Linked DNA regions of Caenorhabditis elegans. The protein of the gene in region 1 interacts with the protein of each later gene in a pairwise test. Each region holds a gene or a part of one and is shown on either strand. Other genes may lie near its edges. The genes, in order: mxt-1, shw-3, asd-2 and ife-1.

Region 1 (7,000 bases):
AAAATTTTTTTGAAACATTTTTTGACAGAAATTTTCAAAAAAGATGTTGAAAAATTTCAGTAAATCAAAAAAAATTAATTTTAATTTTTTATAATCCTTTTATTTTTCTTCTAATTTTTACATAGATATTTTCAAACTATAGAATTTTTTAAAATTTAAAACTACCCTAATGCTCCTCTTCTACTCGAAAACTGTTCGAAATTTCCGAAAATTTCAAATTTCCCGCCAACTCAAACTTATTTTTAAAAAACGTACGATTTGCAGCCATTGGATCCTGAAACATCATCGGATTCTGTGGTACAAATTGCATTGGCGGTTGAGGTGACGATGGGACAGGTGACGTCACTGATGACGTCACTTGTGTTGGTGGTGACGTGGCAGACGGTGGAATGCCGACAGTTGGAGCTGGATCATGTTCTGGAACACACGAAGGTTTTTTAATAGTTTGTAGTTTGTGGCGTGTAGTTTTCTAGTTTGTAGTTTGTAGTCTTACGTCCTTCCGGCCTGTTGACATAATATTGGCTGTGTGCCAAGTTTGTTCTCCAATTCATTGCCCGTAATTCGACAAGTTCCATAATTTTCAATCGACACGGTGTCCCAAGTTGTCCATTATCTCGACAGCATGCTTGACGTAATGATGTGAAAACTTTATTTAATTCATCTGCAAAAATTTTTTAAATTGAAATTATTATAGTTTTAAAACTTTGGAAAAAATGTTCAAAAATGATCAAAAAAAATTTTTTTTTTGAATTTTTTCTGCAATTTTCACTTATTCACTTATAGAGCTTTGATGGCCTGACTTTCCGAAAAAAAAAATTAGGCCACTCACTTTTATGTGATTGTTCCAGCATCGAACCCGAAGTTTTGAGTTGAGCACAAAGTGTGAAGATCGTGTTTGCGAGTTGTGAAGTGAATTGGCTCGCACGTACCATATTGTTGATTGTGTTCATTAGCTGTAGTTGTTGGTCTGGAAAAAGTTTGGAGAGTTTTGGATTTTTGGAAAAAAAATTTCTGAAAAAAAAATGTTTTTTTGGAATTTTTTTTTGGAAAGTAATTTTTTTTTAAACTTGGATAGTTAAAAAAAACATTGTATTTTTCTAAAAAAAATTACATTTAATTTTCCGTTTTTATATTACTATTTTCAAATAAACGTTAACAATTCAGATTTAATAATTGATTTTAAAACAATTTGGTACTTGTGTATTATTTCCCCTCATTTTTAAATATAATTTTTTAAATAAAAACGTGTGGAGTTTTTGTATTTTTAGTCTTAGCAAATAACCATTTCTAAGCCTAAGAAGGGAAACTGGACATCACGCTATATTAAAATGGATAATAATAAAACGAGGGGAAATAATACACAAGTACCAAAAATTTAAAAACATTTCAGAACTTTTCAATATTCACTTTTAGTTTGAAAAGTTTTTCTTTACTTTTAATCATATTTTAAAATAAATTGATTGTGCAAATTTTTTAACTATAAAGTTTTTAAAATTTCAGTATTTAAGCTGAATTAATTTGACATTTCTAGCTAATTTGAATAAATACTGGATTTTTAAAATAAAATTTACTTTTGAAAATTAAACAAATATTTAAAGTATGTAGTATGTGGTGTGTTTTTTGTTCGCATAGATTTGAAAATAAATCAAATAAATAATTTAAAAAGTATATTATTTAATTTTCAAATAGCAATATCAATTTTGGTATTTTATTTTGATTTTAAAAAATTCGGCACAAAAATTTTTGAAGATTTTTTTAACGCTGAAATGATTGATAGATTTTTTCTGTTGAAAAAAAAATTTAAAAAAACCAAAAAATGTCGATTTTTAATTTTTAATCAATTTTTGTGGATTCTGAACTGTATTTTACTTAAAACAATTTTTTTTAACTTGAAAATTGAAATCATTACTGAAAACTGAACAAAATACTGAAATTTTTCTGAATAATATTTTTTTTCAAATTAAATATTTTCAAATTCCCAACTCCAAACCCCTTACCTTTTTACCTCTAAAAGTTCACGAAAAGTCTCAAAAATCTCTCATTTCTCCAAAAACAAATAAATGTCTTCTCCCCCCACTTAATCCTTATCAATTTTATATCAAAAATACACGAATGAACTCTTTAACATTGTCTGCGTCTTTTCATTTCTAACAATTTCTCCTTTGTCGGCTTCTGTACAATGTTAAGTGGCGGCTCGGCGAGCCGCTTTTCAGGTATTTGCTGATCGACTTTGTAACGATGGAGGGGGAGGAAAATTGGGTTAAACATGGGTTGATTTAGATGGAAATAAATGAACTAATATTATTTTTTGATTAGTTGAGTTTTTGGCTATAAACTACAAAGTTACCTAGCACGAGGGCTTAGGCTTAGGCTTAGCCTCAGGCTTAGGTTCAGGCTTAGGCTTAAGCTTAAGCTTAGGCATAGGCTTAAGCTTAGACCTAGGCTCAGGTTTAGGCTTTGGCTTAAGCTGAAGCTTGGGCTCAGGCTTAGGCTTAGTCTTAGGCTTAGGCCTAGTCTTAGGCTTAAGCCTTATGCTGGGCTGCGGGATGGCTATTCCAGCTGATAAAACAAAAAAACTTTTCTTCTAAAAATGGATAAATCAAAAAACGGAATTTTTGGATTCATGAGAATTCTGAAAACATTGAAAAACCCGCACCCATGGCTTCAACTCTATAGTTTTTGGTTCAGTCTATCAAACTACAAACTACAAAGCTTCATAGCCTCACCCAACATATTTTCGGTTGAGGTCATTTTTTGTAGTTATAAACTCTTGTAGAATTCCCTTCCTCTACTTTCACAATCAGTATTTTACCAGAAACTTGTCGTTTTGACGAGCTAAGATGATATATGAGCTGAACGGGTGAATATGTGAGAGAGTATGTGGGATGAATAAACGCAGAGAAAGAGAAGAGCACCCGGGAGAAAAGAAAAAGTGTGTAAAAATCGAGTGCAGCTGTGAGAGAAATCTGAGTTTACGAACTGCAAAAACGCTTATGAAATCAGAAATAATCTATAAAATTGGGAACAAACTGAGGGACTACAAACTACAAAAGGGTTTCCAAAATCCCTTGATTTACCTCTAGAAAATTCTTTGAAAAATATTAACTGTATGCAAACTGGTCATACAATTTGGAGCTGAATATTTAGCTTTTAAAATTTTTAAATAATAAACAGTTTTTTTAAAATAAGTTGCACAAAAATTCAGGTTTCGCAATTTTTTATTGCAAACATTTCACAAAAAATCAGATCAGAATATTATCAGAATATTATATATTTATATTATTATTATTATATTATATAATGCCGTAATTTTTTTCAAAAAAAATCGGGCTTAACAAATTGTACATTTATTTTGAAGCTAAAATTTTTATTGTTATCGAAAAATTAAAATTATTTTTTCTAGTTTCACTATCAGTTGAAAAAAAATTCAATTCAAAACTTCCAAAAAATTATTTTTAAAAAATTAAAAAATTTCAAAATCTCATAACTTCTTCCAAAATTACCCAATTTGTACAATTACTATGTTATTTTGAAGCAAAATATTTGTTTTTTATAAAAACATTTTAATTTTATAGGAAAAATACAAAAACCAAAAAAAAAACCAGATTCACAATTAAAAAAAAAACATTTTTTTCGAGATTTCTTAAATTTTCAAAATTATCAGATTTTTTTAAATTCAAATTTTTTTATGGAAAACAATTAATTCTTACAGAAAGCTATACTTGCACAAAAAATTTACAAAAAACACATGTTTCAAAATTTTCGAAAACAATTATTTTTTTTCGAAAGTTTTCCAAATTTCAAAATATCATAACTCCTTTCAAAACCAATAGATTTTTCTAATTTTTACTTTATTTTGAAGTTTAATATATATTCTTTTAACTTTAAATTATATTTAGACTAATATATGACAATAAGTCAAAAAAAGTTTCAGTTTCAAAAGTATCAAAAAAAAACATTTTTTTTCGAATTTTTTCCAAACTTAAGTCTCTTCAAACTTGCTTAAATTTTCCAAATTTTAAGTTACTCTGAAGCTCAAACAATTATCTTTTTTATTATTACAAAAATAACTCACCAACACTCAACAAGGTGTTTCGGGGCACCTGAGGCGCGCCCTGCATTTTCCCGCCGCCAAAGTCGTCGTAGTTATGAAGCATGGTTTTTCAGATTTTGGGAATCAAAATCAATTGATTTTGATTTTAATTATTTTTTCAGATTAAAATGACAGTTTCGTGTGCAAGAAAGAATGTGTTGGCTGGTGGCAGGAGATGTTGGTGGACAGTGAAAAAGTAGAAGAAATTTTTTAGGAAATCCGAAAAAAAGTTTTTTAAAAACTTTTTTCAGAAATCCAAAAATCGTTCGTAATTTTTAAAATAAATTCGAAATATCGGCGGGACGTTAGGGGTAACGTTTTTGGGGATGAAAACGTCGTGTAACTGAACAGCACCGCCCGTGTGTTAATATCTTTGTGTTCTCCTGATTTTACACATTCTCTCGGAGATGAGCCACTCAGTTTGGCTCCGCCCATTTTTTGTTCTGTTCCTATCATCTCTGTCTCTTTTTGTTTTCCGTTTTTCTTTACAACAAAATTTGCAATGAGGGAAAGGGAAATTGAATATTAGGGGTATTTTTGAATCATTTTTTGGCACAAAAGACTGTCATTTTATCTGAAATTAATTATCAAAATTCGTTGATTTTGAGTTCCAAAAGACTTTATCGGCGGGGAAAATTAGAAACACTGGTTGGAATGTTTTGTGGTACTGAAAAAAAAGTTTTAAAAAATTGAGCTTCAAAAAAAGTTAAAAAATTTAAATTTTGGACAATTTTGAAAGGAGTTATGCTATTTTGAAAATTTCCAAAACTCGAAAAAAATTTTTTTTGGAGCTTTTGGGATTAGGTTTTTTTTAAAAAAATTTTGTTAATCAGATAATAATTTTGATTTATTATAAGAAAACATATTCAGCTTCAAAATAAATTAAAATTGGAAAAATCTGATAAGTTTAGTAAAAGTTATGAGATTTTGAAAATCGAAAAATCCCAAAAATTGGTTTTTTTTCTTTTCACCTGCAAAGTTACCTGGTTTTTTAAAATTTTGTTTTTATTTTTACGTACTTTACAACACAGTAACTCTTGCTGGAAATCAGTTGCTGAGATACTGTGTATTTTTTGGTTCAGGCTAAGATAGTTTTGTAGTTTGTAGTCTAAGCATCTCTCATCTTGCACCTCAATTTTCCATTTCGGAAAATCATTTCAGACATCATTCAAAACGGTCAGGGAGTTTCGGGTGGCACAAATTTACATAATCATTTACATATAATCAACACATTGTTATTTTTCTCTTTGTCTCTTTTTCTAAAACATATCGGAAAAGAACGAATTCCTAGAGAGACACAGATAACGAGATTGAAATTTGGAACCTGAAATTTGGATATCGAATTGCTTTCAAGTTTTTGTGAATAAAAAATTATTTCAAACCAAAATAAAACATGTATGTACAAACGAAATAAATAAATAAGTTACAAATTGCACAAAAATTGATATTTTATCAATTTCACGGCTCCGTACTAGTCGTGGAAGTTGTCTTAAAGTAGTCAAATACCCTGTGACAGTTCATTAGAAGAAGTGGAAGGAAGACCAATGCGTGGGTGGTACCTGGAATGAATTTAAAGGTTGCTGGCCTAGAAATTCAGATTTTGTGTTTTCTAGGCCACCAGTATGTATGTTAGTTCTTAGGGTTCTAAATTTGGGGTACGGTAGTACTAGCTTCAGCTGTGATTCAAATTTTCAGTAAAGCAGATCATCACAAATTTTGAAATTTTTGAAGTTGCTGGACTAGAAACCAAAAATTTTATAAATTTCTAGGCCACCAAACTATATGTGAACTCCCAGATGTTATGGAGATGTATGAGTAAAGTAGTTTGGTAGAGCTCATTTTCATTACCAAAATTTTTTTTAATTCCAAATTAGGTGGCCTAGAAAATCACATTTAGGATTTTCTAGGCCATCACCCCGCATGTCAGTTCCCAGGCCCCCTAAGACCTCCAAACTTTCTAAGTTCACTAGAGCGAATTTACACAACACTTACCAAATAAAATAACCAATACAACAGTCCTAAAACACGTTTGAACCACATAACTATCCACCAAATACAGCGAAGAAACACCCAAAAGTACGGAAACTGAAGCCTGTGTGACTGGCCAGCCGATTGTACCCAAAGTGTGACAAAATCGTGAATAAATTGCACTTTTTCCCGGAATTTGGGCTCCAGATTCTGTCATGTACGCGTAAGAGACGTGGGCGGCGAAATCTGGAAATTTTTTTAATTTTTTTTTGTAAAATTTTTAGACTTTTGCTCCCCAAGAGCTTTCAAAACAGTAGTGAAGGGTGCAGATTTTCGACGATATAATTGGAGAAGGCTACAAAAATTGGGTAGTTTATTGTTTGTAGTTTGTAGTTTATTGTTTGTAGTTTGTAGTTTATTGTTTGTAGTTAGTAGTTTAAAGTTTGTAGTTTGTAGCTTGTAGCCAAGTCTTACCAACTGAAAATCCGACACTCATTGCTACAGTAATCATTGACGTGGCATCCAGGCTGACACCAAGGAAGGACATGGTTCCGATGACTCCGAATGCGATGGAGGCGATATTTAAGCCTGCGATGTTTGACTACATAGACAACGAAGACTACAAATACTACGAATTCTACAAAACTCACCAATAATAACTGAGCAGAGTGGTTGTGGAATGAAGAGCAGTGCGACCGGAACCATGACAGCTGAAATTAGTATTTTTGTAGTTTTTAGTATTCAAGAATCATACTACAAACTACAAACTATAGTGATAAAAAAATTGTAGTTTGTAGTTTGTAGTTTACAGTTTATGCCTTACCAATAGAAATATAGATATCCTGCATAGTTTGTGGCCACATAATATCATACTCGTCTGCAATATTCCACAACGGAGAATATGTAATAATACTGTAGTTTGCATGTTTTTGGGACAGT
Region 2 (10,086 bases), on another chromosome or scaffold:
TGTCACCATAGCCAATTGTTGTCATTGTGACGATCTGGAAATTGGAATTTTGTTCTGATGTTTCATTTTTACAAGGAAAGGTTTCATTTTACTTTCAGAATTTGTAACAAGAAATATTACGAGAATGTAAAATTCAGAGAATGCGTATTGCACAACATATTTGACGCGAAAAATATCTCGCAGCGAAAACTACAGTAAATCTTTAAATGTCTACTGTAACATGTTATTATAACACTGATGTCAATTTACAGGCTGCACTTTCGAAACGAATTTCTTTTCTAATTGTGACAACGATATTTAATTTTCCTCCTATTTTTCGTTGTTTTTTTACAATGTTTCATCAGAAAAAAAAAGTGAAAAACAATGCGACAGTAGTCATTTAAAGAACTACTGTAGTTTTCGGTGCGAGATATTCTGCGCGTCAAATATGTTGCGCAATACGCATCCTCAAAACGTAGTGTTCCCGTAATACGTTATTTCCAGACATTTAATTGTTTTTTAAAGAATGTTTAGAAGTGGGCACGCAGTACAGAAATTTTTTGGAAACTATAAAAAATAGTTTTGAAAAATTGAATCATTCATCCAACTCAAAAAATAAAAAAAAGGAGAAAGGTACTTTCAAAATATTGAGTTCAAAATTTAAAGGGCTTAACGTGAGTATAAATAGACATTCTCAACTTACCGCCCACCACAATCCAATCGGAATTGACACAAATTGATTATCTTCATTACTTTCCACCCGTTCTGCATAATACACCAGTGATGCAAATACAACAACTCCCAATACCAAAAAGAATACAAGTAGCATCAATTCCTTTGCTGATGCTCGGAAGGTGTGCATCAAAATCTTGAGTCCCGAATTATGATGAGTCAATTTGAAAAGTCTCATAATACGAATGATGGAGAAGAACTCAAGATCTGCAGTTGCTCCAAACATGCTTGATAATAAATCAATGTAGAATGTCAAAGTGGCAACAATGTCGATAATGTTCACAGGTGCACGAAGATATTCAAAACGAGATGGACATGAAGAGAATCTTGCCAGAATTTCAATCGTGAACCAAATGTTACATATTGTTTCTATGTACTGAAAAGTATAAGGAATATTAAATATTCAATCTTTCTGTATACTGTACCATAAAAGTTGGATGAGGCCTAGAATTGGCCTTATCAATGTTTATCTGTGCAGGATGTATTCGTGAAGATGTACTCCGATGATTCCGCGAAAAGTTTCCAAATGGAGCTAATTCAGGGATCCTCAAACCAGGATGGGTTTTCAGACAGAAAACAATGATGGCTGTTATCAGAAAAAATACAGAAATAGCTGCTATAAATTGTGCTGATCTAGATGAATTTGGTTCATCGAAAAGCCTCCAAATCCGAGGTTTGATCTTCTGCCAGGCACTGAGACTATCATTATGATAGTCATCCTCCCAACCAAATCGTTTGTACAGTTCCTGAAAATTTCGAGTTTTAATTTTGCCAATCGTGACTTTTTTAGACCAAGCCTATTGTCAAATTGGTAAAAAATAGAATTTTTCTGACTATCTGAGAGATATCTGGCACCAATATTTACTTCTATAATAGTTACTTTAAAATCTGAAGTATAGCGAGTTTGAAACCTCGAAAAATTTGAAGTATTCCTATTATAGTGTTTTTTTTTTGAAATTTTGAAGCTTCATTTTAAACTTTAAAATGAAGCTTCAAAATTTCAAAAAAAACTATAATAGGAACACTTCAAATTTAAAACTGTGCCTTTAAAATTTAAAGGCACGGTTTTTTTCTCGGTGGGTCTCGCCACGATCTCATTCGATTACTTTTTACTCCACAATGTGCAGACATAGCAACCAAATTCACGTTGTACTTAGTATGCCGGTTTTTTTTTGATTAGGAGTCGCAAAAACTTTTATATTGCTTTGTAAAATGAATCATAATGGATAAAAAATGTTCTAAAATTCTGCATTTTTCTCTTGTTATACAAAAAGCTTACAGGTCCTTCTGTTTGATCAACTTCAATATCCAACTCGTCTAATGTTTTGAGCACATCTTGTGTATCTCTTGTACCAGATAATGTCATCCAACAGCATGGTTCGCATTCATTTGAATCAAGTCCCCAATACTAAAAAATAATGTATTTTCTTATCTTTTAACAATTATCTTCTTACCTTTAACTCCTCTTCAAATAATGGTCCACACACGTCAAGAGGATAATGCAATTTGCCCGTTCTTAAACTCAAAAAAATTATCGAAAATGCGATTTGTGCCTTGTTACCTATAATAATTTAGTATTTGCGCAAAAACTCCGGGATGTCTATCGAAAAAATACTCGTTTAAAACTGGATCATAATTGGCCAAATTTGTAGTCAACCGGGATAGTCTGAATAAAAAAAATCATGCTAGAAAGAAATATGGAATAATTGTTACTTTACCGTGTAGCTGGAATTTTCTTAAGCGTATGCTTATAGGTTTCGTGTCGAACACCACCCACGTTGAGTATGATCCGGTATTCACTGTCCATGACAGTCTGTCTGTAATTATTAGAAAATTGTTTCTGTAAGCAAATGAAAAAAAAACAACGTTAACTGACTAGTGAGCAATGTATAATTGATGTTTTTTTGGATTTCAAAAACCAAGTTTTTCAGTCAGGCCTACTAGTTAACTTTTAAGCCTTTCACTAGACGTAATTCAGTATGTTGTATATCCTTCGAAGGACGCTTAATCTCAGCTAAATATACAGAAAGTGATATCAAACTTAGAAAGCTGTTGTTGAGAAAGCAAGACGTACATAAAAATGCACATAAGCCCGAACATAATGACGGAAAACATATCACTTTGGAGTCGACTACGGTAGGAGGAGGGGGATGTTCACAAAAGTTATCCGTAATGCATCTAAATCGTAAATTTGTAAGTTTGTTTCTGGTGGCTCAAGAGATCTGGCACAAAAGCAGCATCTGGAGCGTGATGAATTGTTGTGTTGAGACCGGATAATAACAATCATAAAAGCGTGCCACCAGAGCAGAGAATGAAGGGCCAGAGGAGCAGTCTTATTTTTTGCCGCAGCCGACGCCACACAACCAACACCACCCCAGTTGGAGCCATATCTCCTATGTCTCTCCCGTCCCACCCTTCTTGCTTCCATTGTTCCCGCTCTTGTATGTTTGTGGTCCCTTCCGCTTCCTCATTAAAATTTGATCACATACGCCAAAATGAGAGACAAGACGAAAGGAGAGGCGTCGTGAGATGTATAGTTACAGATAGTTGTTAAGATTGGGAGGCTCGGTACTCGTGAAAAAGTTCCGAAAATTTTGAATTGATATGGGTAAAATAAGTTTTCTGCATTTTTCTAGTATCACTACAAAGGTTTTGAGGAAATTCTTCTAGGTAAATCCACAAAACTGCTAATTTCAGTGTGCATATCATTTTAGAGCAAAAATTTATTTTTAAATGTAGAAAAACATCTATTCGATTTGAAAAAAAAGAAGTTTGAAGTTAACCTATAATATCAAAAATATCCACAGTTAGTTTAGAAAGTAAGTTGTACGGATACTTATTGCGAGGCAGATTCCCAAGTTTACAATTTCAACAATAAACTTTCGACAATAAAACAAAAATAAATTTATTTTAGTTCTTTTGGAGGTCACGTTTTAAAAACAATTTTTTTTAAACCTACAGATTTATTTTAATAAAAATGCTCTATTAGAAAACGATTCAAATTTAAGAAAATGATTTTCATGGATAAATATTTGTTTACATTATACTCTTATAAACTCACATAACAACTCAAAACATATTTTTTGGTCGATCTTGATTATGAACATTTTTTGAGTAAGCTATTTTTCTTCGGATAATGTATAATTTTATAATTTCCTACGTCACTATTTCTATAGATTTTTGAATATGACTCCATGTGGTTCTTTGTATTTTTTCGCTCTGATCAGCTATATTTATTAAATTCTATTTTTTATTACAAAATACACCGTAAAATTGTATCAACCAGATAGAGGTGTTCAATGTTTTTGCCGGATTGTTTTTCACATTCCAAAAATACAATTAACTTCCGAAATCAGAAAACTACAATTGTACGCCTTTTGGTCTGGAAACGATTGCATTATCATTACTAAACATTTTGGCAAGAAAAAACGAAACGTTGAACTTATAAACCCCACACCCAAATACCACAAAGAAAGTCCAAATAGTCTCAAAACACGAAAAGCAAGTACCTATTGAAATTTTGATTCAAAGCAAGCAAAGCGAGAGGGAAATGTGACCGAAAATATTTCAAATCCACATTTTTCCCCAGCAACAGCCAGCTAATTCACTTTTTGTTGACTTTTCTAGCAAAAGAACTCGGTCACCTAGAAACAGTTGGACAGAAAAAGCGAACATCAACAAATTATTTTTTTGAATTGTCAAAAGTGTTGCGATGGCGGTGAAAATAGACATTCCAACAAGTGGATGATGAGCCGATCCTCTGCAGAGCAAAAAGAGAGATGAGACGAAATAAAGAGAGATTATCGTTCACGGGTAATTTGATATGTTTTGTCACATACTCTAGATTGCAGGACAACGAAATAGAGAGTAGGAAGAGGACTTCGAGAAAGGAGGAAAAAGAACAAGAAGTAGTAGTAGAAGAAGAAGGTGGTACATGGATCATGATGAGACACACAGGACACGGACAGAGAAGACTCGGCTTAATGTACGTAATTATCGATGGTGCCAACTGAAGAAAAAGGAAAAGAGTTACTTCTTGTTAGACAATTAGATGCTTGAGTTATCTTGAAAAATTTTTTGTTCATTTATATATTTTTTAGATTTCGTATCGTTTCAGGCTATTTTGATTATAATCAGTTATTCCTAATGTAAGAAAATACTCCGTTTTTTTTTGAAATTTAGCTGTGTAGCTGTTCTTCGATTTGTTTTACTCTAATTTTGGAAGAACTGGCAACTTTTTCCAACAATGCGGTTTTTTTTGAGTGATTTTAAGAATTGCTGCAGGTTTGAATGTTCTAGAATGTTCAAATACAAAAATTGAAACGCATTTAAAATTTTGAAACCAATTTTGAGTTATCTCCACTTTTTGACTGAGATTTATAACAATTTAACAAAATTTTTGCAAAATTGATTTGCAAAGTTTGAATTTTTAGGACTATACGAGCGGTTTCAAATCATTTCCCTACTCTCAATACTCCATCTTCAAATAAGAAGTTCAGATTAAAATTATATTTCTGTCCAAAGAAGTGCCTTTCTAGATTTAGTTCCAATTTTCGAGAATATTTGTGACTTGGGGTAAACAAATGATTTTTGTTGAGCAAGATTGTAACTGGTGCTGTGGCTCATATGGAGATATCATCAGAAAATACAATTTGGGTGGCCGCATTGGAGTGTGAAAAAAGGAAAAAGAGAGGAAGAGAAATAGAGAGACAGAGAGGGAGAGAATAGTGGAAAAACCGAATCATGAAGAATTTGTATGAAAAGTGAGAAGGTCAGCAGCAAATTGAGAATCTGACACTACTAGATTAGACGAAAAAGCAAAACATAGGAAATAACGTGCAGTAAGAACGAAAATTAGAATCTGAAGAAGCATTTTTTATAAGAACCTAATAGTAAGATTTTCAAGATCTCGAAGATTTTCAAGCGATACTTCCGGGCGAAAAAAGAAAATACTTGTGAGCAAATATTTATATTCATGGCTACATTTAGAATCTCTCCTAGATTCACCTCCACCCTCACTAGTCTTCCATCCCATTAATTGCTGCTCATCAAAGGACACGGAAATGTACTTTGTCACTTCTCTTTTGGAAGGTGTCGACTGAAAAAAAAAGAATGCGCATGACGAGAGTGCGGGAAAGAAAGAATAAAGGAAATGAAGGAGATGTGGGCCACCGAGGAAAGGAAGCAGTTGGTGCAAAAATGAGTGGACACACCGGATTATTACCCTTTTATTATTATTGTTATTCCAGATATTTTTGAAGAAAATGGTTTATTACTTTTGTCAGGGTAGAAGCTAAGAAAAATAAGATTTACGCGAGCAAGTTGTTAGAAAGCATCGGGGTTAAAAATCCAGCTGTAAAAAATGTTTTGAAGTTTAGATTTTAAATAGTCCAAGTTTAAGAGGTTCTTATAAAACTTTTAGAAAAATAACTGTAATTTATAACACCTTGTAAAACTATGTACCGTGTTTTCTATATTAGTATTGCAGCCCTAGGAGCAAATCGAAAGTTAGTGTTGCGCCCTCTAATACACTGACTTGTTGTAAGATCAGCCGTATTTTGCAGAAATCTTGGTAAAATTTATGAGTTTTCAGATAACGATAAACCGGTTCAGATAACTCATCGTGGGAAATAATGGTTAAAAAAATCCAAAGTATTATTTACAGTGACACATTATAATAAAAAATTATGAATTTTAAAATTGTTAAGCAAAATTCACTCAACTAGCTCACAACACTACAAACACAATTACGAACACGGCATGCAAGTTTTTAAGCCGAAAATCTAGAGTTCACAATTTTTGAATGCTGTCGCCCATTTTAGACTCACAATGATTGGCAAAAAAAGGACAATGAGCTTTGTAACCTGCCCTTTTCTCAATTTAATTTTTATTCTCTCATCTTCTTTTTTTGCAGAGAGAGAGAGAGCATCAGTATATCTAATTCATTTTCACTTTTTTTCCACTGCTCCCATTCATTTTGCAAATTGCTTTTTCATTTTTTGTTGAAATTTCTTCCTGTTTGAAACACTTACCCAAATGCGGTCGACGGACTTGTTCCATTATTGTTCCGTCGTCGAATTGACATTGACGGGGGGACGATCCAAAAATACTAAATCAAGAAGAAATGAAAAAGAGCAGAAATTGAAACGAAGAATATTTCGATCAAGAATGAAAAATTGAAGTTGTGAGACATGAAAATCAACGAAAAAACTAGGAAAAGGTGTCCTGGCAACAATTCGGAAAGAGGCCTCCGGCGACGGCAATAAATGAGAAAGCAACAAACAAGGCTTTTCAAAAAAAGTTTCTTTCTTGTGTCACCCCATTTTCTGACAAAATAACTGGGAGATTTTTTTTTAAAGGAAATGCAAAATGCAAAATATTTGTTCAAAGTTGAATCTGTCATTCGGCATTTTGCAAAATGTGTTCAAGCTATAATTTTTGTAAAATGGAAAAATTGAACGTCTGAGTTTCGATAATTGTTTTAGTGGTCAGATGCTGTTTCACAGGATATCAATTTCAGTGTCTCAGAACACTTTTGCTATTAAAAGTTGATATATTTTGAGGAAAATTCCCGGAAACGGGGGAAATGTTTTACCAGGCAAGTTTTAGGTTTATTGAAAAAGCAAGTTAGAATTTTAACCTACAGAGAACAATTTTTTAGTAACATCTTCACTTCTAATTTTATAATCTTTTACCGTATATCTTCTATTAGTTTGGCCTCCCTATTAGACTGGCACTCCCTATTAGTATTGCCCTTCAAAGACCTTCCGAAAATTAGTATTGCATTCCCTATTAGTGTTGCACTCCCTAATAGTCTTGCACCTACTTTTTTTTGGTGCAAACCCTCCTTACTAATTTTAAGATTTTAATAACATTTTTTGAATATTTTGCAACAATTTATAAGAAAATTTTTATGAGATTGAAGTTATTGTACCTTTTTGTTGCAATTTCAATCAAATTTTCTATATTTCCAAATTAAAGTTGGAGTTTTTTCAAGTAAATACTAGTAAGCCCCAACACAGAAAAATGTTCTGAAAAATAGTATTTCACTCCCTATTAGTCTTGCACTCCCTAATAGTATTGCAAGCGGGAAGACCTTCGAAAAATAGTATTGCAGCCATATTAATAGAAGAAATACGGTAAATTTTTAAACTTTGGAAACGAACGAGAAAACGTCGAAACTTTTAGCTTGAGGTTATCATTTTCAGTCGAGGTTTTGAAGAATACTAATTTTTTGTTAAATTTATTTCTATAGACAAAAATAATAAAAAAATATTGCTTAATTTCCCAAAACGAAAGTTCAATTTAATGCAAAATCAAAAACAAGCTTGAACATAGCGATACATTTTAATAATCAGCTAATAAAATTTTTATTTTGGAAGTGACTGCGAATAACAAAAGTGCAAGAGAGTGTTGAATATGTATATATCATATTAATTTGTCAACTAGTCTCAAAAAATATCTTATTATCAAAATTATGACGTTTTTATGACAGCAAAGTACGTGGGAAACTTTAAAACTAGAAAGCAAGCACCTAAAAATATATGTGAATTAAAATGAACAGTGATCTTAAAGCGGAAAAAGAGAAAACCGAGAACTGAGATATATCTAATGAATCGAGTAAAATGTATAATTTGGGTGGGTTTCAGTTGACAAATTCTTAGATGAGAAGGATGTATCAGTGCTTTCACCAAAAAAAGAATGAAAGAAGAGGAGGAGCAAGCGGTGGAGATATGTGTGCGAATGTGAATGTGAATAAATTTGATTAATTGGCACGAGAAAGTCAGCTATTCGGTCGCCATCGTCGCAAGCACTTCAGATCAAAACGGACACGGAGAAGAGCTGGAAGTGACAAGCACTTTTGGAAATGTACTTTTCTGTTTCTTTACTTTTATTTTCTTCATTGAGAGTTTCGAAAAGCTGGAGACATAGAAAACAGTAAATTGATTGATATACAGGTATGCAATTGTTTTACAGGATTCGTCTTTATTTATAGTTGATTGTTAGTTGGCAAATGATTAGTTCAAGAAAGTTAACAATTTTTGTTTCTGAAATTATTTTATAGCATCAGCTTAAAGTTCAACTTATCACTCAACAATTTCATAGACCTACTGGAATCTGAAAAACGTTTTTTAATTACCAAAGTGGTATACACTAAAACTGTAATTTTTTGAAATTTTCAAAAATAATTTCGACAAAAAGATTTGTAAACTAAACTTCAAAAATGATCGTCAAATTTATTTTCATTTTTTTCGGGATGTTTTGAGTGGCATTTAGAAAATGACGCTGAAGCAAAATATTTGACAAATTTCGAAAATAATCCATGTTTTTTTTTCCAGAGAAACTAAACTGCATAAAAGCTTTACTATGAAAAATATAGGCAGTTATATAATTTAGACTTCTCAATATGATTTAAAGTGAGAAACTACATTCTGAAATTTGGAATTTTTGGAAATATAGAAATGAACAGGTATTATTTAAAAAACTAAGCTTTTTCAAAAAAATTTGTGTTACTTTTTCGTGAAATTTAGTTTGCAACACAAGTTAGTTTAATTTTGCAAAAAAAAAAGAAAAAAGAAAGCAAATTTTTTGTTTGAAGTGAGATGAGGAAAAGAAGCATGTAGAAATTAATTTCAAATATTGCTCTTGTCCGCCTTTGGCCTCTAATTTTCAACGCCAGACTATATTTTCAGTATTTTTTTTCCTTGAGCCGTTCTTTTTTCAGAGGTTCCCCATACTGACCCGAATACTAATCTTGTTTTTTTTCATTCTTTTTTCCAGCACTTTTCAGCTGTTTGGATATGATGAAAATTTGATGGTGATGAAGCAAAAACAGAAGAAACAGGAAAACGAGTTTTCTAAAAATCTCGTAGGGAAATAATTTGATAAAAGAAAGTTATACAACTGACAAAGGGAAAAACAAAAGAGAAATATATATATAAATGAGGTTATAGAGTTATCTCACGAGGTTCAATTAGCATACTGATTGCTTTTGGCAACATACAAATGCGTGAGAAGTATGAACAAAAACAAGTAAGAGAATAGGAAAACATCAAGAAATATAAACAAAAGAACGGGTCAATCAACTTGATGATTACTTGTGTGCAGTAGAGGTGAAATCCGATATTTTCAGACAACGGTGCGAGAACGTTTTTCAGTGAAAACTACAAAAATTTGTCAGAAATATTTTGGAAAGTTGTTGCGTGCAAAATCACAATGTGCAACAGGAATTCATTACTCAAGTATGTTTTATTGCACCTTTATGAGAATTTGAAAATAGAAAATTGATAAATTGTGTTGGTTTCAAATCCGAGAAGAATTACGTTTTCTGGCGATTGCCAAAATATAAATTATCCTAGGCACAATTTTCAATTT
Region 3 (6,971 bases), 6.0 Mb from region 1:
AGCCTCACTCAAAGAAAAAGTCAAATATCTAAGACTAGATGGGGGTGTATACCGGTATTTGTCCGGTCGGCACATAGAGTTCATGTTGATTTAATTGACATATCTAATGGGTAACGAGAGAAAAGGGAGAAAAAGAAATGGTTAGAGGTGAATGTTACCTGACACTTTTCCTACGAAAAAGAGGAAACATTAGAAAATAGTTCAGTTTTTGATTCAAAATGGTGGTTTCTAAATTGGAAAGGTATCAGAAAAAGGAAATCATTTGCAGATAGTGCACACATCCGCTCAAAAATTAGACCCACAACTGACCCTTTTTAATTCTTTTTAATATTTTCTAGAAGCTAAAAATGAAAGAACTAACCGTAGGTTCTGGTTTCCAATCCGCACTGACGTAGTCATTGGCGTCAAAGTGATGTACCATCGTGGAGAGCATTTTTGAAGAAGAGTTCCAACGCAGACGGTTCTGAAAGAAAATAACATTACTCGTTTTCAAAAAGAGGCAAAACTTTAATGTGGAAAGTTGTATGTTAAAATTGAAATTAGGATTTAAATTCAAAAAATTTAAGAGAATTTTTATGATGGAAGACGCATACATCTTTATATAATAAATTTAAGAATCAAGTGAGATGAGCGTAGGCTCAAAAGCCTCTTATTCGTCACGTAAAACGGGAATTATCTAGACGGATGTTTTCGTGTTTACATTTTTGGAAGATATTCTATAGTGTTTTATCAGAAGATTTCGGAAAAAAAAATAAATTGTGAATATTTTTTTCCTAATTTTTTTAATGTTCAGTTTGAAAAAGCTACAATAAAAGAAAATAATACTCCAAGCTTTAAAGAGAATCTGAATTTAAAAAAAGGAAGAATTGATAACAAGAAGCTTTGGCACATTTTAATATAATTATTCGAATGAAGATCTTATCGGAATTAGAAGAAAATCGTGTTTTTTAACGCAAGATGAATATATCATTTATTCGGTTGTTGTGATCATTTTCAACATTGCCGCCGTCATCTCTCCATTGCAGTGCCGCAGTCGCACAAGGATTGGCGCGCGCATCCGTCGGCTCTTCCGGATACCGGAAGTGTCTTCCAAAGAGACATAGAGACATATACACTTAGGATTTTACTGCTTGGTGTGACAAAATTTAAAAAATAAGATGATGTAAACGGATCGAAAAATGGAACAAGTGTTCCAGTAGAAGCGTTCGAAAGGGGATGAGCACGAGTTGTTCAAAGAAAAATTAAAAAATGTTATTTTTTAAAAATCATTTGAAGAAAGACTGAATGATAATATTCAGAAAATATGAACATTCTTGAAAACGAATCCATTTTTGACGTGAAAACATTTGAAAACATAATTATTGATTTCAACGTACACAAGGGAAGATCAATAAACCACGATTATAAAATCTTGCGAAGACAATCATTTTAAACTTCTACGAGTTTTGAAGTCTTCCAACTTGCACAAAATGGGTGCAAAATCATCAAAAAAGGCGAAAATCTCGCCACCAGCGGATCGATATTATACAAAAGTCGATATTGAATCTGGTCCCGCCGTTGTTGCAAAGTCTCAAGATTTCATATTGGAAGTGCCGGTCATTCCAGAAACATGCGAAGAATCGATTCCCGATTCAAGAATCTCTCGTGATGTCTCCGAAGTCTCACGTGTGTCTTCTGGAAGTGAGGTGGATGTTACCGGAAGTGGCGTTGACGATGAACATCTTGATATACAATCCAGTGATGATAGTGTTGAGTCGATATTTGATCCATTGTTATATCTTGCCAATCAGGGAATTGATGTAACTCATTCCAATATAAGGGAACTTGTATGCTCGGAAAACTATCGAGAATTTTTGAAACAGCGTAAAACCATGCTTACACCAAAGGAACTTTTCGAACTCGAACATGGAAGAATTCCTGGGAATTATGGTAAATCAAAACCAAAAGAAGAGATTTTGAAGGAAATTGATGAACTTGAATGTAAAGCTGATGATTTATTAACTGATTTGAGTGATGATGAAAATGGATGGCCAAAGTATGATATGAATGCTCTTCTTGAAAAATATGAAAATCACAAAGACTCGGAGCCCAATTTATTGATTCCAACAAAGGAGGATTATGAAAGAGATAGTGAGTTTCAGTTTATTTCATCGCAAGTATCGTTATTTTATTTCAGAAAAAACCTGCTGTCAGCAAGTTCTGAATAGCTACGAGTTTGACATGGTAGAGTCTTCAATCAATGGTCATGGGTTGGAATTCGAATGTCTGGTAAGTGAAATTATAATTAATAAATGCACTATAACTCTTTCAGGGCCCTGACGCAACTCGAACACAAGATTTTTGGACTCAGTGCCATAAAGATCGCATCAGCTTGATTACAATGTTTGGAAAGTTTTTGGAGAAACGAGGGGCCAACTGTAAGCAATATATTCCTGACGATAAACAAGAGATTCTCAAATGTGGACAGATAATTGTACGACGATTGACAGATCCAGAATATCCATATCGACATTGCAAAATTCAAAAGTTTGCAGTAAGATGCAAACTAGTGTAAGTTAATGTGTTCAGATTACTAATACTGATTTGATTTTAACTTTTAGACCAGAAAATTATGGTTGGTATGTTGTTTGGCACTGTCAACGAGATATTCAAGAATATCCATCAAAAGATTATACAAAAGAAGATGAAGAGTTTGAGAATCTTCGAAAAGATCTTTTGAATGATATGGTAAGCTTTTATCAAAAAATAAATAATAAATCTTATATTTTTAAAGCCAACTCAACACTGGCTTTTTCATGGTCCAATGCAGTTCAGTCCTCTCCGGGATAGACTTGTGGAGCGTAATTCATATCTCATTGAAAAGAAAGGATCCAGTGTTCCAGATTTCGTGACACAACCTATTCAGGCGGCCAACGCTAGGTTTGATTTCGATACCGTGAAATGAAAATCGAACATTCTTTATAGAAAGGCTCTCTACGAAAAATCTTGCTATTTGGGTTTCCTGACCTCTTCATCATCTCAGATCTCACTGTCTGGATGCCAATCAAGACAAATTGGCGGAGCTGACGAAGTTGAAAATCTCGTTAAACTGGAAACCGAGGAATTTGATCTACAGAAATCGCTCGGCTCATATCCAATTCAATCTCAAAACCGTCTGAATAATGTCATTCAAATTTATGCCAACAGTCCAGATCCAGAACAGACACAAGACTTTTGGCAAATGATTCTACATAAAGGAATTCCAACAATTCACACTATATCTGATTTAGACCCGGGTAAAATTTTAAACCTCAGATTTCAAAAAAAAATTAAATTTCAGAAGAAACTGCAAACTGTGCTTCCTATTTTCCCTACGGCAGTGAAAGTGAGAAATCATGCGGAATTTATACTGTTAAACGACTCGGAATTGAGACTCAATTATCGATGAACCTGAAGAAACAGCAACTTCTGATTTTCAAGATGGGAGAGTCTGAGTATCAAAATGTTGTTAATGTAACTCATTTCCACGAAATCGTCAAGAATCAGGTTACTGATTCGAAAGTTAGAAACATCGAAATAATCAATGAGCATGTATCACGTCAGGTTTGAATGATTCATTTATTTGAATTTATAACCATATCCTTTTTAGTCAAATCCTCAACTTCTGATTCATGGTCCCTAAGAAAACAACGCAAAGAGTTAATATTGAATACGGTATTCTAGATTTTTATGGAATTTTAATAAAGTGATATGGCTTTATTATTTTTGAACTGAAAGCATTGACCTTAAAAAAGAATAAGAGGGAGAATTGAAAATGTGAACAAACTCCAAACTTGCAAGTAAATACATCGAAGTGATGGTGAAAGGAGGAGAACATAATTACATACTTTGTCGGTATTTCTCTGACGGTCTCTCCAGTGAAGTCTGCACTATTTCGTTATTGCCCGATATTAACACCCGTGGTTACCCACATTCATCGATGTTAAAAAGTAGAGGAAAGAAGAATTCAATGGGAACTGGTTCAGATTTAAGAGATTACTGTAGGATTATAAAGCTCCGAACAAAGTAGGTAAAGGGGAAGAGGACCGAAAATAAAAACAATAAAAGGTAACATTTGTAAAAGGAAATTGAAGGATGGCCTTATGAATGCACCTTATGAATGCACCAATTTTCCGGTACATTGCTTGCATGATGGAATAATAGAATTGTCCGAGACACGAGAATAAAATTGGTGAAAGGATATTGGAAGAACTTTTCTCAAGTTAATGGTTTTCTACTTATTTACAGTTAAATACAAATTTTTAAAAGAAATAACAGCTTACCTGACAGCTCCTAGCACTTGAAGAATCGATTGGGTGGCGTGAAGACAGGAATACGGCTGGAAATTAAACATTTAAAACTGGAGTCATTTTTGAATTAATAAAAATCTATAAAGATAAAGTGAGCTAAGAAGCATAAGGTGTTTTATTTGCGAATAAACAAATGAGAAGAAACCGAATCGGCTGGATGGCAAGTTACGTAACACCTAGGCAGTCGGCATACACTTTCATTTTTCAAATGTATTGCAATGAGAAGGTCATCGTTGGAATGCGGCACTAAAAGAAATAAGAGGCAAGAATATTGAAAGCATACTTTCAATGAATGAATATTTTCCAATGGCAAGGTTTTTTAAATTTCAGTATTTTTCAAATAACTGACTGAAATTGTCCACATTGACAGAAATTATTTTGAATGTGATATCACTTGTTGCTTCGATTTGAGAAGCTCAGATTGTTTGGAAAAATAAGTTCATCGATATTTATAAGCTACCTCGTGTAAAAATGAAAATCTTCTCTTACTGGGGTGAGAGTTGCACCTCAAAAATATGAATAATTCTTGGAAAAATTGACACGAAAGTATTTTGGATAGGGTATTGGAAGGGTAAAGAGTATTAAGAAAATTTATTGGAAAAATTGAAAGTTTAGAATTGCTCAATCTGAATTAAGATTATATTAGAGAAAGAAAACGAGATGTGGGTTTTCCAGAAATTCGAGGAATAACAAGAGAATTTGGCAAATCCGCGAATCGAATTAAATATTAATTAGGGTTCGCATTTTCAGATTTTCAGAAATATTTTGAGCGAAAAGATTCATGCTAAATGTATTTTCGATGTAAAACACAAGTTTTCTGGAAAAGTGCTCGTAAAAGCTGGCTTCCCTATCGTATCGGTATAAATATATGTCAACTTTACATATTTCAAATTTATTGTAAAGTTCAATAAATTTTTCCAAAAGTAATGTCTCACTGCACGGTAGAGGGAATGAAGAAAACTATGAGTCCTCTACCACCACTAAATATGAATTAATACATGCCGCGTGCAGATTTAATTATAGTCATCATCTTCATACACCCTTTCTTTTAGTATTCGAACGAGAAGCAAAGGAAGAAGGAATAAGCTTAAATGAGTGAGAAGTGGACGAAGAGAAAGAGTGAAAGACATGATGATGAGCTCAGGAAAACTTATATGACGATAGATTACGGATTAGAGAGATTTAGACGGACAGAATGACAGGCGGATCAGTTGTAACGATGCCAGGTGACCTCTTATTCTTCTTTGCCCACTTTTCCGCACCAGTTGTTGCTATTTGAGGCCATCGGGAAGCACTAAAGGACCCCGACTTTGTCTCAATTGATTGGCTCTAAATGTCGGATTTCCGTCAAGAATTTGAAAAAATGGACGCCGCAAAAAACCTTTCTAGAAAATATCATTAATTGCAAAGACTTGATGAGAAGATAATCTCTTCGGTAACTAACTATGTTCAATATGGAAAACAATCCGAATGTAATTAGAGAATAAACACTTATCCATTCGATGAGCAGCTCAATATAGAACACACGCGAATAAAAATTGGAAAATCACTGGAAAGCCATCACTGACAACATGTGTGCGCGCGTATTTTCTTCTTTTTCCATCATCCGTCTCCGTTCAATCAACACTATCTTTTCGGGGTTCCCATGATTCGTTTTATGAGGAAAAAATGAAAGCGGAAGGCAAGAAAATGGTGAAAGGAAACAGAACGATATAATTTCTAGTGACAGGTATCTGGAGAGATGTTGAGTTGATCATCTAGTTGAGTTAAATTTGTGAAAATGATTAACTTGAATGGGAACTCGAGATGTTTTTGATATTTATTCGTCGGATTATCACAAGTTTCTGCATAACTGCGGATCTATTTTGTGGACTGGAAAAAATAAATCTACTTTCGTGATAAAAATTTTATTTACAGGAGTATTTCTGCATAAATAGCAGACACACTAACGCGAGAATGTCAGACAGAATTTCTGTTGTTTTCAACTTTTTTTTTTGGAAATTTAGGCTTTCAACAAGTCAACGATGGGTCGTCGGAGGCAAAAAGCCGTTTGTTTGCAAACATTCAAGCGTCATAAAATCCTCGAAATAGCCGTCATTTGGGACAGATTTCGTGAAAAAAAAACCAAAGAAAACCAGCGAAAACAAAGGAAGAAAAAAAAACGAAAAGGAGAATTTACACGGTGACTGAAAAAGTATCGGTGAGTACTGTAATTTTTTAAATTTCGGATTCAATCTTTCGAAGATTTAGATTTATTCACATGCGAATTCGCTTAAAGGGATCGATTTTGACGTAAAAAAAAGAAAACTGAATAAAATGTACACGGCGGAGAAGGCAATTGAGATGTTAAATGTGTAATCGACGGTTGAAGAGGCGACCGGTCGACGACATGAACAGAACAATGGGCGGAGATGGGAAATACTTGGTAAATCCAAAATTGACACGAAATGAGGCAGAAACCAGAATTATATTATTTCGAAAAATACGTGTGTTCTTGACATGTTTTTTCTAGTTCTGCTGAAAAAATAAAAAAGATATTGAAGACGCCCGCTTTTATGATGCGCATTTTATGATGCGCGCCTTGTTTTTTAAAGCCTCGAACAAAAAATAGTCTATTAATTTTGTACTAGCAAATAGCTTCAG
Region 4 (5,465 bases), on another chromosome or scaffold:
TCACACTGTCTTCACCGGCAACCACAAGAGCAGCGGCTCCGTCAGAAATTCCAGACGCATTTCCTGCATTCACTAGTCCGTCTTTTTGGAAAACAGGCTTCAGCTTGGCAAGGCTTTCTGCGGTGGTGGCTCTCGGATGCTCGTCGATTTCGAAGCTTTCTTCTCCCTTGCGCCCCTTGATAGTGATTCCAACGATTTCATTCTTGTAGACACCAGCCTCCTGAGCCTTCTTCCACAGGGTCTGAGATCTCAGAGCGAATTCGTCGGCTTCTTGTCTGGTAACTTTGTATTGTGCGCCCAACTTCTCTGCAGTCTGTCCCATGGCTAACTTGGCATACGGATCGCTGAGAGAATCCCAGAGCATATCTTCGAATTCGTACTTCTTTCCAAGTGCAGTTCCGAAACGAATATCTCGAACAGCGAATGGCACCATTGACATGTTTTCGGTTCCTCCGGCAAGAACAATGTTGGACTCGCCGAGCTTGATAGCTTGAGCTGCATTCACGACTGCTTGGAATCCCGAACCACAGAGACGGTTGACAGTGAGGGCCCCGACGTTTTGTGGAACTCCAGATTTGAGTCCAATGTGACGACTCAGGTAAATTCCATCACGAGAGCTGGCAACCACGTTTCCTGAAATTAGAGGTTTTCTTTAAATCATTCTAAAAATAAAATCTTTCTACCAAAGATGACATGATCGACGGCATCTGCTCCAACATTAGCGTGCTTCAGCGCTGCTTGAGAAGCGACGACTCCCAAATCAGTTGCACTCAATCCTTTCAGCTTTCCACCAAAAGTTCCGAATGCTGTACGCTTGGCACCGACGATGAACACACCTGCAGACATAATATAAACATCACTGATCACTTATTAGTACAACGACCATGGACTTTGACCCCCACTCACATTTTCCTGCCATTTTGCAGTGTATTTGTGTGGTTCTGTAAATAAAAACGTTCTTATAAGTAGTAACAAATTATTAGGAAGAGGTGAAAAAACCTAAAAAAAAGGGCATTTAGAAAACTGCATAATTATTTTGAGAGGGGCTTTTGAACAAAAATAAAGTTTTTCGGTTGTTTGTTGGGCCGATAAGATAGGTAGAGAAGAGACGCAGAGACGAAAAAGAAGCAGAATGGCCGACTTTCGCGGTGTCTTTTTTATCATCATTCCCGCTACTTGTTCTCTGACCTAAAGGCTACATTCTACACTACAATAAGATACAAAATTGGGCCTGGAAACCACAAGGCAATATAATACAATTAATTTTCATCAATTTTATTAAACCAATCACAAAACAACGAGTGAAATACTAGCCAAGCAACGGGTGTAATTAAAAAACAAGTAGAGCAGATACAAAATGGTCTGCTTTAGACGGCGGATTTCTCGGCGACTGGAGCATCGGACGAGTGCAATGAAAGCTTGGCTTTCACAACCGAGCTGGTCTTCTTCTGGCAGCTCTCATGATCTTCGTAGCGGATCACATCGAACAGTGGCTTTGAGTGGTCCTTGGATGCGGCCATCAGCTTCTCCTTCAGCACAACTCTGAAATTCCAAAATTCAAGATAGAATTAAAAATAGACATGCATACCCAATCCTCATGTTGGTTTCATCATCGTTGCAATCCTTAGTCCAGACGCTGATCTTCGATCCTTTTCCTCTGACGTTGCACACCAACCCACAAATCGACTCCATGTCCTTTCCGAATTGCTCGCCGACCAAAGCCATGAGAATCTCCAGCCAAATAGCATCGACCATTTCGGGAGTCTTTCCCTTGTCAATGACGATGAGCCAGCGTCCTCCGTTCGAGTTTTCCGGAACCTCCCACATCGGCTGAATATCGTCACGGAAAACGTTGTAATCGCACAACGCGTTGAGGCCACTTGGTGGACGGATAGCATCGTAGAGAGCCCAGAACTCCGAGACGGTGTTGAAGGTGTACACCTTCTTCAGACGATCCTCCCAAGACTTGTTGCGCTCATCGTTCAAATACCACCACGTCCAGTTACGCTTCAGCGGATAAATGGGTGCCGTCGTTTGCTCCGTTTCAGTCATACCTGGAAGAACTCGATTAGTAAAATCAGTAAACAGAGAGAATAAATGAATGCAAATAAAAATGGGCACGTGGAACCAAAAAAGTGATGCAAAACGGCGAGAAACAGTTTTTTTGTGAATAATTTATAGTACTCAAACGATAATGAAAAAGGGAATGGCTCACCTTCTTTCTCCCCAGAGATTTTCAGCTTCTCAAATGCTATTTCAGAATCTGACATTTGCGCTTAAAATTTTCGCACCTCGACAACTGGCAAGGCAAAAACAGGACTGATCTGAGAAGCCGAGAACAACTGGGGAAAACGCCAACTAATCGTGCCCTAAATGACGTGCCATTGAAATATGGAGCGGGTCAGTAAAAAAATTCACGGGGAAAATAGGAAATGGTGGAATATAGTACAACAATTTTAAAAAGAGATTTAGAAATTATCGATGATGAATCAAGGTAAATACACAAATGAAGAAATAAAATGAGAACCCGTAGAAAAAAAAAGCGAAGAAAAACAATCTAGTTGTCGTAGTCATCGTCGGTTGGAGCCAAAGAGCCCTCTGATGGTCCTCCAAACATTTGTGCGTTTGCGGCTGCTACCGCCGCGGCTTGTGCTTGTTGGTGAGCAAGCTGCTGCTCAATTTCTTGTTGGCGTGCCTGTAAAATAAATATTAACATTGAGGAAATGAGTGTTTGTTTTATAAAAACAAAATTATTTTTGAAAACCTCAAAAAATTACCTTCTGAATTAATTCTTGTTGCATTTCGTACAATTTTTCCTCTGGAATACCACATTTTTCAAGACGAGAGTTCTTCCTTCGCAGCTTCTTCTCGGCTTCAACCTTGCAGGCATCGAGAACACTGTCGGCGGCCTCGAGATAATCTGGTGTGAATCCTAAATTCTGCAGTGCCTTCTGAACATGTTCGTGATATATTGTTTTTCTCTGATCCTGGCTCGCAATTCGTTGTGCTTCTCTCGCAATATGCTTCACGAACTCAACGCAGCAAGCATTGATCATATCTCTCGACTCGTTGGCGATTCGCATTTCAGGAACAACTTCTTTGATAATTTGGTTGATACCTTTCTGTGGAAGTCCGATTTCATTGTCCTCATCCATATCTGTGAAGAGTCTGAAAATTGTGTTGAAGCACTGCATTTTTAAGGGATCTAAAAGAGATATAAGGAATGAGAAATACATTATTAAAAGTTTAAAGATGAAATAAAATTAATATCAAACTGAGTACATTTATGCGAATATAAATATAATATTTTCGGAACAAATCTCACAAAATTCACAGAATTATCCAATTTTAGCATTGCTGAAGTCCATTTCAGGATGCTGTTTCATGAACTGTTGCAGCATATCATGCTTTTTCTTCTCATCAGACGTTGGAAGACCCATCTCCTTCTGCCTCTGATCATACATCATCTTTTCGACCATGGCACGTGTCTCTCCATCCAAGTCGCTCAATTTCGAGTTCTCTGGCTTCACTTCCTTAGTATTGATTGGAGGATCGGAATCAAGGAATCGATTCCACCATTCCATATCATTGATCTTCTCGAGAGTTAGGACAATCGCTTTCCCGTTTTCGATTACCCAGTTGCAATTTTCTACTTTAATGGCGTGAGGCAACTTTCCATCGACAATCGGAGCTTGATTCTTCAGGCCGACAGATACTGAAGTCTTCTCTATTTTGACGACAACGTCACGAGATTTGATAGCAAATCCAGCAGCAATTGGAATCTTCACCTCGAGTTCTTGGAGTGTTTGAGTCCATTGATATTTGGCAAGATCCGCACCATTTCCACTATTTGGTTTCATGAGCTTACTGTCCTCATCTTCGACTTCAGCGTCTTTCGATGTTTCTCCTTCGTTATCGACGAATTTTTCAAGATTTTCAACAGAATTTTTAGCCTGTTCCTTTTCAAACGCGGCCGCTTCCTCATCAGTGACTTCCACGACTTTCGCATTTCGGAACTCTTCCTCTTCCTTAGCTTTTTGTGCAGCTCTTCGTTCAGCAAGCTTCCTCTCCTGCTCTTCCTTCCGTTTCTTGGCTTCTTCAGCTTCCTTCATAGCCTTTCCACCGTGTTTATCGAATTTTTCGAGGAGAAGGGTCCGGGCTTGATCGACACCAGCGCCACTGTAGAAATCCGTCTTTCTGAAACAAAACATGTATTTATTAAGCACTTTGAAAAAATTTCTTACCTCGAAAGAAATTCAAATAGTACATCAAGCATTTCAGGCACTCCGCCGCTCAGCTGTTGGGCCATGGAGAGCAGCACCGAGTCGAATCGCTCATATTGAGACATTTTCTGAAATTTAAATATATTAATTAATAAAAACTACTTCCAAAACGAAGAAAAACATTAGGAAATCCGGAATTATTGAAAATAGAGCCTAAAATCAAGAAACATAGTTATTTCGCAATAATTACAGGACAAATTCTACTTAATCTAGTTAAAAACTTATTTTACAAACTAGAAAACCATTTATTTTGACAAATATCACTAGAAAAATTGAGTTATTTCGAAATTTCTGGTAAATCCTATTTTCGCCATGTTCCCATGGATACTGCAAGTGCCTGGGGAAAGCAGGTGGCTCATAATGCTCAATTATATTTCTGGGACAATGAGAATAGTTGAAAAATCAAAGAAAATCTGTGCGAAATCCCGCAAAATCGATAAATTAGGAGAGAAAATGTGTAAAATTGAAAATAAATTGCGAGCGCCGTTTTTTCTAGGCGCCTTGGCGCGGCGACTGGCGCAACTCTCGTGCTGACGCGAAACTCGATGCTACAGTAGTTTGATTTGAAATTTAAAAATTCAAATTTGAATTCAAAGTAATTTTCAGAAAAAAAAAGCAATAAGTTACCTAGTGCATTACTATTTCTCCCGTTAAAGAGAAAAACGGGTCTAATTGAAGAACAGATGGTGCTAATCAAAGAGAAAAATGCACACGCTTAGAAATTGGATTTTTCGAGACCTTTTCCATTTTGAAACTTTCTATTGATAATAAATCCAACTTAAATATTGATTAAGTTCACTTTTCCATTTACAAATTATTCCAAAAAAGACAGAAAAGCCATTACGTATGCTTAATTGCTTTTTTCTAATTAGACGTTCGACACTTCAGTACACGCTAGCATGGCTAATTAGATTGGAAACGAGGTCACCTCTCGTTTTTGTTTGTATGTCTGCGTTCATATTAGACTACGCATCGCGTTGAGAATCTAGTTAGAACACTATTTGTGTCTCCCTTTTTACGCGGCCTTTTTTTCTTTCTTGCAAAAAAATACGCATTTTATTTATGTTTAGTAGTTAACATAATTAAAATAGATGTTGACACACTTTTTTTAATAATAATTTAATAATAATTATTATTATTTTAAATACAGATAGAGTTTCAAATCAATTCACTAAATTTACC

Evidence for each region.
Region 2: the proteins of mxt-1 (region 1) and shw-3 interact in a two-hybrid assay, tested with the Caenorhabditis elegans proteins (one large-scale study listed by BioGRID).
Region 3: the proteins of mxt-1 (region 1) and asd-2 interact in a two-hybrid assay, tested with the Caenorhabditis elegans proteins (one large-scale study listed by BioGRID).
Region 4: the proteins of mxt-1 (region 1) and ife-1 interact in a two-hybrid assay, tested with the Caenorhabditis elegans proteins (one large-scale study listed by BioGRID).

What each region holds. Positions count from the first base shown.
Region 1 is NC_003279.8:12,841,785-12,848,784, reverse strand, and holds the start of mxt-1 (Eukaryotic translation initiation factor 4E-binding protein Mextli homolog), read right to left. Parts: upstream 4,517-7,000; 5' UTR 4,158-4,516; coding exon 4,076-4,157; intron 968-4,075; coding exon 830-967; intron 662-829; coding exon 494-661; intron 418-493; coding exon 256-417; intron 1-255. Other genes in the region: ptr-17 (SSD domain-containing protein), read right to left, coding at 5,552-5,652, 6,086-6,307, 6,536-6,649, 6,712-6,771, 6,885-7,000. UniProt on the Caenorhabditis elegans protein: Plays a role in promoting translation.
Region 2 is NC_003283.11:12,973,814-12,983,899, forward strand, and holds the start of shw-3 (BTB domain-containing protein), read right to left. Parts: upstream 6,797-10,086; coding exon 6,744-6,796; intron 2,529-6,743; coding exon 2,430-2,528; intron 2,378-2,429; coding exon 2,273-2,377; intron 2,227-2,272; coding exon 2,166-2,226; intron 2,120-2,165; coding exon 1,991-2,119; intron 1,920-1,990; exon of another isoform or gene 1,770-1,919; intron 1,458-1,769; coding exon 1,137-1,457; intron 1,088-1,136; coding exon 683-1,087; intron 497-682; exon of another isoform or gene 347-496; intron 35-346; coding exon 1-34.
Region 3 is NC_003279.8:6,887,785-6,894,755, forward strand, and holds the start of asd-2 (K Homology domain-containing protein), read right to left. Parts: upstream 4,360-6,971; 5' UTR 4,302-4,359; intron 3,739-4,301; exon of another isoform or gene 3,662-3,738; coding exon of another isoform or gene 3,629-3,661; intron 3,583-3,628; coding exon of another isoform or gene 3,320-3,582; intron 3,276-3,319; coding exon of another isoform or gene 2,965-3,275; intron 2,920-2,964; coding exon of another isoform or gene 2,774-2,919; intron 2,728-2,773; coding exon of another isoform or gene 2,601-2,727; intron 2,551-2,600; coding exon of another isoform or gene 2,312-2,550; intron 2,269-2,311; coding exon of another isoform or gene 2,177-2,268; intron 2,131-2,176; coding exon of another isoform or gene 1,470-2,130; exon of another isoform or gene 1,418-1,469; intron 1,101-1,417; exon of another isoform or gene 960-1,100; intron 464-959; 5' UTR 434-463; coding exon 362-433; intron 112-361; exon of another isoform or gene 50-111; intron 1-49. Other genes in the region: C48B6.4 (Tyrosine-protein phosphatase domain-containing protein), read left to right, coding at 1,470-2,130, 2,177-2,268, 2,312-2,550, 2,601-2,727, 2,774-2,919, 2,965-3,275, 3,320-3,582, 3,629-3,661. UniProt on the Caenorhabditis elegans protein: RNA-binding protein that binds to the 5'-NACUAAY-N(1,20)-UAAY-3' consensus sequence in pre-mRNA introns to promote alternative splicing.
Region 4 is NC_003281.10:13,340,413-13,345,877, reverse strand, and holds ife-1 (eIF-4F 25 kDa subunit), read right to left. Parts: upstream 2,462-5,465; 5' UTR 2,271-2,461; coding exon 2,216-2,270; exon of another isoform or gene 2,166-2,215; intron 2,055-2,165; coding exon 1,589-2,054; intron 1,543-1,588; coding exon 1,368-1,542; 3' UTR 1,260-1,367; downstream 1-1,259. Other genes in the region: acaa-2 (3-ketoacyl-CoA thiolase, mitochondrial), read right to left, coding at 1-633, 684-836, 907-919; dro-1 (Protein Dr1), read right to left, coding at 2,558-2,695, 2,778-3,194; nud-1 (Nuclear migration protein nudC), read right to left, coding at 3,339-4,197, 4,245-4,348. UniProt on the Caenorhabditis elegans protein: Recognizes and binds the 7-methylguanosine-containing mRNA cap during an early step in the initiation of protein synthesis and facilitates ribosome binding by inducing the unwinding of the mRNAs secondary structures.